2 linked regions of the Oryzias latipes genome follow. The protein of the gene in region 1 purifies or fractionates together with the protein of each later gene. This does not show direct contact. Links are inferred from orthologs where the notes say so. Each region holds a gene or a part of one and is shown in the gene's direction. Other genes may lie near its edges.

Region 1 (4,422 bases):
GTATAATTTCAACAATTTATTTAGAGCTTTGGCTTAGGTAAAAAAAAGTTGATCATGACATCAGTCGTCTTTTACTCAGTGGTTACTCACATCTTATTCCAGATCAGAAAAGACTTGGCCATGAAAATGTTCTTATTTCCTGACAAAACCGTTTTTTTTAGTCCCCCTAACAGTCTGAGTGTGAAAAGGTGGCTTCATGGATCCACTTATAAACTAGAAAAACATCCAAAATAATCCAGTCACTTTATCTGTGCTTTTTTCTGTGGCTGAGAAGACTGTTGGCAGGAAGCTTCTCATGGGTTGATGAAATCAATTAATCAATCGGATTCAATCCAAGCTTAATAAATTAATAATCAATCCATAAACGTAAAGATTGATCTTTTATGCGTTTCCTTTTACCGTGACCTAATGCATAACCGCAGTAAAGCCAAAATCTATTAGCTTGATGCTAACGTATAATGGAATTTCCCATAGGACGGCTAATGCTAACACTCCTTTGACCTAAATGAACTGCTTTATATAATCACAGGCATGAATTTTCCAAACTCTTTTTTTTTTTAGGAAACATTTTTTTAAAGTACCGTAACCATTTGTGGGTAGAGCACCGTTTTTTACTCAAATCTTTTGGAATTAAGCTATAGCGAGAGCTCCACCTAGTGGCCATACTAAAACGTAGGTTTCTTTACAATCTGCACATTTTTGTTGGAGCTTCTCCGTTTGAGAAACCATGTAATGCTGCATGTTGTTAACAATCAATTGGTTTATTATTTCACGAATACATTTACTGTATATGTACTGTATCAGATCAATACAAGACGACCTGGTTACAGACAACATGGCGGGAAGACATCATTAGCCGGAACCGGGGTCTACGTTCACCCCAACCCAAATTTCTGTGGGAATATACTTTTATTTTGTTACTTTTTTTGTTCCAAATCATAATAATAATTTAACTGGCGACCCCAAGATTTACTGTTGTTTTTCCAGCTTTAAGCGTTAAAACTTTAGCACTGTAGATGTCTCTGTCAAAGCCCGCTTTGCTCTGAACGTAACTCCGTACGTGAATCAGCTGATCAGCTTTGCATCTGTAAGCAACAATTCAAAGCGAATTTTTGCAAATTGCTTATAAAGTGTTACATACCGGCGCAAAGCCGCTTTCCTCCGCAGTTACACTGTTTAATGTTGATAAGTTAAAAAGTTACGGTGAAGGAATGTAAACACTGGTGCTAAAGCTCCGGTGGGTTTACAAATCTAAACACATTTACTTATACACTTTTTGAAAGGAATAAAACAAATACCGTTTTTGCCCTGTTTTAATCTCACGTTGCACTCTGAACCATAAAGTCACATGATAGTTTTTAATAAACGGGGCTACAATTTTGAAAACTTGTAGCATTTCAGATTCCAGCAAATGATGTTTTGCCGCCATTCTGGACCTGCTGCCATCTTGGACTTGAGACCAGGTCCCCCTCGATTAATATGAATATCTTCAAAACATATATAGATTAATATTGTATTTCTATAAAAATATGTCTAAATGTGTAAACCATTTAAATTCAAAATTGAATCAAATTGTGGATCGAAACAATCAAAAATGAATCGATCCGGGTTCTGGCGAATCAAATCGATTCTGGGAATTATTGGTGATACTCAGCCCTACTCATCAATTGACAATATTACTGTTGCTGTTACATCATTATGTTGAATAGGATCTGTATGCTAAATAGTTTGTAAAAAATAAAAGAGCATTACTGTTTAGTAGAGGTGCAACAACTAACCAATTAATCGAGGAATTGATTTCAATTCCTCTGATCCAACCAGGTCGATCTGATCTGTCTGAGGCAAGTTGTTAATGGTATTGACTTAAACCATTAAAAAATGACTTTGAAATTAGATGAATCAAAAATGGATATTGGAAAATACCATTTGGATTGAGGTACAGTAGGTTTATTTGAATATAAGGTAAATACAACCGTTGCATCACAGCGGACAACACACACGTCATGCAGCAAAAACTGATCAGTCCATCAATCCAGTCCAATGTGTGGAAACACTTTGAATATAGCAAAAACATGTGACCAGACTGTGTGCTAGAATGTTCTAATAATGTTCCCTTTGCACTCTTTGGATGTGGAAAACAACAGTGGGCTGAACTTTAGGAAACTAAAATGTGGATGGATTTGACATCCATTCTTGTTTATTTGTTTGTTTGTTTACACTTCATTATCTTATAAGAAATACATGAAATCTGGAAATTTCCCCTGCACTGTTAGTACCCAGGTATTTCTCTTTGAGTCACATTGGTTGACGTTTGGCTAAAGATGTCCTATTTCCATTTTAGGTCAGTCAATTGTTCATTGTTCAGAACGACTATGACTACTAAATCGACTATGAATCGTGTCATCAATTGCAGAATATGATAAGAATAGAATCGTTGTTATCATATTCACTAGTTTTAGTGTCTCCAGAGTATTAAGGTCGGATTAGGCAGCCAGAAAAAAGCAGAAGACACTCCTACAGTATTCTGAAGTACTTTATGACAGGAGTGTTATTTTCTCAGCATTTTCTCTTCGCTTTGAGGTGTAATTTCATCTTACTGTGTTGAGTTCCAGAGTTTTTTTTCTTCTGCTGAAGTTTCCAGAACAGGCAAAGGAAAACTGTTTATAAAGCTTTCAATTTGGGATGTTGTTGCTACAGTTGTTGACAGTTTGTTTACTCTTGCTGCAGATGTGCATGGACTCAGAGAAGCACATGATCTATACGTTTGGTGGTCGTATCCTCACGTGTAACGGCAGCGTGGAGGACAGCCGCACGTCAGAGCCACAGTTCAGTGGCCTGTACGCCTTCCAGTGCCAGGTGGGGTCGTGGAGCCTGCTGAGGGAAGACTCCTGCAACGCTGGCCCAGAGGATATTCAGTCTCGCATTGGACACTGCATGCTCTTCCACACTGTAAGTCTGCACAGAATCGACCTTGTATCAGAACATTTTCACAAAAGACTCATTTAGGATCATCTTTTACTGCAGAGAAACCGCTGCCTCTATGTCTTTGGAGGTCAGAGGTCTAAGACTTACCTCAATGATTTCTTCAGTTATGATGTGGACGGAGACCACGTCGAGATCATTTCTGATGGCACCAAGAAGGACTCTGGCATGGGTAAGAACTAGCTCCTATTACTAACACTGCCTTAAGAAATAATGACTTAGAAAACTGAAAATGATCAATCATTATTTTATTCTTCTAGTTGGCAAAAAAACTACTTTATGTTAGTTTTCATTGTAATTTATTGGTATTTATAGTATAGGTTTAGCTAGGTCGGAATTTGACAAATAGACAAATATTTCAAGGAAAATCTCAAGAAAGTGATTTGAAATCAGATAGATGAACTATTTTGACAGCAACACAGCCTTATTAAATTCAGCAAACAGTTGGAATTTTTTAAAGCTTTGCGTCATTTATGTTGAAATTAGCGCATTTTAAAACTGTCTGTAGGTTTTATAAAAGGATGAGAACAAGGGCAAATTTAAATTACCTCCCTGCAGCTTCTACCTACCCCTACATTTAGCCCTCAAAGCGAAGAGATATGGAAAAACATTGTTGGAGGTTACTACCGAAAAATAATTCAATCAATAGATAATATTCAATGTAACTTGATCTGAAACATTAACACAGCAGCACCAATATATTTAAAGGTTTTAGTCTGAAGAAATAGGTAAAAACATTGCGCTGAATTTATTTCTAAATGATGGATAGTTTATTTATGATCTCAAAAGTGCAGCTGTTTTCCTGCATAACCTGCTGTCTTTATGTCAAATAGTGACACCAACTAAACAACAGGCAGACAAAGAATACATTGATGGAAAATAAAGACACATCATCGAAATGTCTACAATAATTGATGATCCAGGTGTCGCGCAAAAGAGGCTGCTCGCGTGCACGTCCCACCTCGCAGCCTGGGCCCACTACCCCCCCCCCCCCCTTTGATGCAGAGAAAGGGGCAGCTGCAGGGACGGCAGTTCACAGTTTCAGGCTGTTACAAACTCTGTGATATAACGGATAAGCCGTTAACCGCTACTACTGCACGCCCCCCCTGGCATCGCATCCGGGGGCGCGCCCCACTATTTGAGAAGACTTACAGTAAATCTTTTATAGTATACTATATCCCAGTCTGCCTCGGCAGTGTGTCTGCGTTTCGCCCACCAAAACAAACAACATCCAAACTTTTGCAAAGATGGATGTGCACATTGTGAATATAAAAGGAAATCGTTAAGCTGATCACCGCTAGCTCCACTGAGAAAGTGTGTTTGTGTGTGTTAGCTTGGGGGCGGGACTGGCAGCGCAGACTCTTCCTGGAAGGGGCTGTTCTCACTGGCCTACATCAGCTCGTAACCCGCTCGTTCTCAGAGAGCAGGTTTTTTGAGGAA
Region 2 (4,916 bases), on another chromosome or scaffold:
GAACCATGCCGTCTTGGTTGCTTAGTTTCCTCAAATATTGATGCAGAAAATCAATATTTGAGGAAATTCCCCTCAATTACAGCTTGTGTTGTGCATATGCACATATTCCACTGTGAATTTCATCTTGTTGTAAGCTTAACTATCTAAAAAAACTCGAATTGTGGAGATGGATTACCGTTAATTTATATTAAGTTGTAGGAATTTTCTGTGGCTGCTACACTAGAAGTCAAGGCACACATAAAACAAGCTGGTTGAACCAGATCTGGTCAGAATTACAAAAAAGGAAGTAGTTTTATTGTGAAAATCTGGAAGCTGTGTGCCCCAAAAGAAGCATATTAATTTGCATTTTTCATGGCACAACCCTTATTTTTTTTTTTAAATAAATGAGTATAAAATAGATAAGGCATTATTTTTTAAATACAATAGATTAAATGTTATTGGGGAAGCCTGGTTCACATTGAAGAAACATTTCCAGATGAATCATAAGTTGGTTTAAACCCAATTGAAGACATTCAAACAAGGCTAGACAAATACAGTAACATAAAGAAACTTTATAATAATGAAAATGAAACTGAGTTTTTGTGTAAAATGCTAAATAAATAATAGAGCAAAAACAGGTGTTTTGAAGATGCTAGTTTACTTACACTCACTAGAGTATCCATGTCCTCAGCAGAGTAGGTTTTGTTAATAGGCCACACATCCACTGCTCCGCCTATGCACACCACGCCGGGTTTGTGTGGACATGGTGGCATTATGTTGCAATGCCCATCCACAAAACACATGAATTATGTTTGTTAATCATGATGGAATTTGTTTGACTTTAATGACTGTTACATCACAAATATAACAATCCTATCCTTTCTAAAACTGGAAGAGTTCAAGCAATTGTGCTTTTGTATAAATACTATGTTGTCTTAATTAGACTCTTTTTCTTTCTTTCTCTGGTGCAGAATTAGGAAAAAGGCACTGCTCCTTTTCAGATATGTAGCATAAAAGAAAAAGCTTTTGGTCCAAGACCCATAGTACAGGTATGTTAAATGTGCTTAGTGTTGTGACATTCTCACTAATAAAACTTTTATAGAATAGACTTCAGTCATTAATCTAATCCAAATTTCAGACAAAACTGCCAGCACTTTGCCAAAATGGAAAAAACTTGTAGCGTTTTAGGGTCATGAGAAATTTGCCTGAGTTGTGGGCGGGACCGTTGGCTTATTTCCCATCATCCATCTGTGTACATTCTCACTCACAAGCCCATTACAGCCCCTTACAACCATACTTTAGCGGTGGGACAAAGATGGTGAGCTATGTTGGAGCTAACCACCGTACAGTTCTAAACCACATGCCAGCTCAGACGAGACGTACAAAGATTATGTCTGCAGCATTGGAATGAAGTGGAGGGAGCTTATTGCCTGTAATGTAGATTATAGATGTGATGATACATCACAACTACAAGCTTTTACAAACAACTTAGTTTTTTGATCTCTCTTGTTTCACCACAATGAAGAAATACTTAAAAAGGCAATTTTACCATCATCATCATCATGTTAAAAACACCAAAAAAACATTTTCATTAGATTGGGTCATCTAATCTCTGAAGGCTCTCAAAAATAACCTGTAATTTCTAAAAGCAAACCTATGTGCTGAGTTGAGGGCAAACCGACATCTTTAAACTATCTGACTTAGTTTTGTACAATTAGAATAGGATTATCAGGTCACTAGTAGTTTCAATGCCATTTGCTTACTTATCACTTTATTTCGCGCGCAAATGTCTGTGCATGGTCACGAGAGTTCAATGGCGTCATATCTGAAATGGGCGGCCTTTGAACGTTCTCGTTTTCTATTGGTCTGAATGAACTCGCTGCTGGCACCAAACTCGCATCTCATTGGTTGATTCACCCCTGACTAGTTCCTCTCCCCGGTCCCGCCCCCCTCGCAGCAGCTCGCTCGGCTCTCCTGCGCCAGCGGTGGTGGTGTGTCACCGAGGCAGGGCTGCGGCCGGATAGACCCGGACACAGGTCAATTACCACTCGCTCAGTCCCAAAGTGGCATCGCTGGGGAGCTACCTCGGCGAGCTGTCCATCTCGGTTCCGATTAAGTTGGATCTACTTCCTCCCGGTGTCACTGCAAGACCGTTCTCCCCATGTCGGATTTCAAGCTCGGGATCGTACGGCTCGGCCGTGTGGCCGGGAAGGTGAGTTGGATCTATGATCTAGGGCTGCCATGTGCGGCCGTGGGAGGGCCCTCGGGGAATACAAAAACACGACTGAAGAAACCGTTACAGACATTAGTGGATCCTAGTTTGCAGCTGTAATAACAATGTGGCCATTGTGGACTCTGGCGTCGTTTAGCTTAATCTTTTTAGCCGCGTTTGAGCAGAGAAGCCGGCCGTGTCGAGCCAGACTGCTCCTGAATGCCGCCGCTATCAGTCTCGATTAGAGCTAGCGCTAGCTTACATGTAGCAGGGTACATTAGCGGTTTCTAATTTCAAAACAGTTGTGACGCATATTGAAACATTGATTCGTGTTTTTAATTTGTACTATCGGTGCTGTTATCAGTAGTGTTGAAAATGTGCAAATTGTAAGGTGAAGTGCCGCAAAATTATCAGTCGCTGATGGTTAGCAGCACGCTAACGGCTGGATCTGGATTACACTCAACTGTTGGCTAATGAAGGAAGTGTTGCCACGCTTATCAACTGACTTTTGCCGGCCTGAACTGTGGTGTGCAGCATGAATGCGAGGCGGAGATTTGTCATTTATTTAAAGAAAAGGATGATGTCAACCCCAAGTATTTGTTCCATGAGGATGTGACGTGAAGGAAGGGCTGGAAACGCTGCTGGTGTCACAGGACACCCGGGATGAACTGGACAGGTGGATGAACTTGTGTGAGCTGTGATGGATCTAGCTGCCCACCTGCTGAATGACGACATCCAGCAGCGCGAGACACCTTACGCGGGCGCGCGCGCGCACACACACACACAGAAGAAGCTCTTCAAGGTCCATAACTCATCTGTCACATTTGACTTGTGCTCACTGCAGCCTGAGACTTACGTATTTGAATATTTCATTTAGCAATTATTAAGGGCTGCAGTATTGTGTCTATTACATGCAGAGGTGTGTATTAGCAGGTTATATAACTATTTTATTGTTAAAATGCATTTTTTTCTAACTTGCTTAGCTTACTTTTAGACAACAGTATTAGAAAAATCTCTTAGTTTTTGAACTGTGCTACTTATTTGTCTAGTTCAGTGGTCTGCAACAGGAGGCTTCTTTCCATTGTGGCTCTGAAGAAAACTTAAAATGTTTTTAAAATGTACAATGTAATCTATTATTTGGACTAAAAGCCACATTGAACGAATGACAACAGTCAGACAAGTCAAATCTTATTAAAGTCATTTACGAGCAGTTAAAGCACAGTACACATCACTTTGCAAGGTTTTTGACTACAATACCCATAATGCAAGCCATAAAGCAATGCAGTTTTGTAGTTTATCAAAGTCGCCTTTTAAGCACCATGTGCCAGAGATAATCAGTTCTAAGAAGCACTGTCGATTTGAAGAAAATTAAGGATTTTAAGTTTACCTTATGAGTAAAGTAACTTAGTTAGCTCTGGTTTAATTTTAGTTTGTTAGGTTTACAAATCGGTGGCTGTGGTGCACCAACAAAACAATGTTGTGTTGTGTTTTAAATCACTACTGACATTACACAACGTGTACAAAATATTCTGCAGTGGGATGATCCCATGTGGCACAGTGTGTCTTTTATTTTGAAAGGAAGTCAGAGGAAGCTCTGTCAAAAGTTAGAAACTCATTCGTATTTGGGAAAAAAATCTAATTTCATTTTGTTTTTAGGAATGAATAAACCATAATTTATATTTCTTATAACAGTGACAATACTATAATAAACACAAACCACTGTCGTAATAAGACTACAGCTCCTTCTGAGTTGTGGTCGGTGAGAAATCAACGTGATTAGCTCTTTTAAAGGTTGCTGTCCCCTGGTCTAGTTACTTGATATTTGCTGATAATTGCAAAGAAATGGAAGCATCTGCATCTGGCCTATGTATAGTAGTTCATATTAACTATATGACCCACAGAGTGATCTCTGAAACTAAATCCACAGTGACAGTCACTAGGCCTGCACAATATACCGCAAATTTATCGTTATCGCGAAATCAAGGTGTGCAATATGCATACCGCAAAAGACGGCGAAAATCGCAATAAATGGTTACCTCAAATCAGGGCTCGACATAGCCATTTGTCCGCTGGCCCGGTCCTGTTTTTCGAGCAGTACGGACCACAAGACTTTATTTTTTACTTGTCCGCTCGGGCCACTAAAATATCTAACAATTAATACATTTTTCACCTTTTTCAATAAAGTATATTTTGCGAAAACGTGTAGATTTACCTCGTCTTCATAATTTACTTTTTCTGCTAGTCCTGTGTTCAGACTTCAAGGATTTCTATGGGAAACCTTTTATCTTCTCCTCCTCTCCCGCCTGCGCGCGGCTGTCACTACCGAGCACCATGCGGCACGCGCTCACTCAATTTTTTTTTCAAACTTTATTGAATGTAACAATTCAATACTAAACAATGTTAAACAGCAACAACGAAGGAACAAGCCAGTGGGTTATTATTACATTTTAGGCAGATATATTTAAACTGACACACATATCAGCGCGCCCCCTGGTGGTTTTTCACCGCGATGATCATAAATCCAACACCGTCACTGAAGAGAGACTGAAGCATGTCAGAGATGTGGAAGACATGGCAGGAATAGATAGGAATATGTTAGATGGAGTGACGGGTGGAATTAGTACTATGGACAGCAAGATATTTAATGAATGCATTGAAGATGAAACTGTATGCACTAAGCTTTAAGCTGAATGTCAAAGAATCAAAGGCAACTCCAAATACCTGA

The links. Proteins that work in one complex are often made in the same cells at the same time.
Region 2: the proteins of mkln1 (region 1) and zmynd19 purify together in Homo sapiens (affinity purification with mass spectrometry; 3 studies listed by BioGRID and IntAct, with this or other methods). This does not show direct contact. The link is inferred for Oryzias latipes from reciprocal best matches to the Homo sapiens genes MKLN1 and ZMYND19.

What each region holds. Positions count from the first base shown.
Region 1 is NC_019881.2:8,970,506-8,974,927, reverse strand, and holds part of mkln1 (muskelin), read left to right. Parts: intron 1-2,727; coding exon 2,728-2,949; intron 2,950-3,024; coding exon 3,025-3,154; intron 3,155-4,422. UniProt on the Homo sapiens protein: Component of the CTLH E3 ubiquitin-protein ligase complex that selectively accepts ubiquitin from UBE2H and mediates ubiquitination and subsequent proteasomal degradation of the transcription factor HBP1.
Region 2 is NC_019870.2:12,308,576-12,313,491, forward strand, and holds the start of zmynd19 (zinc finger MYND domain-containing protein 19), read left to right. Parts: upstream 1-1,910; 5' UTR 1,911-2,140; coding exon 2,141-2,191; intron 2,192-4,916. UniProt on the Homo sapiens protein: May be involved as a regulatory molecule in GPR24/MCH-R1 signaling.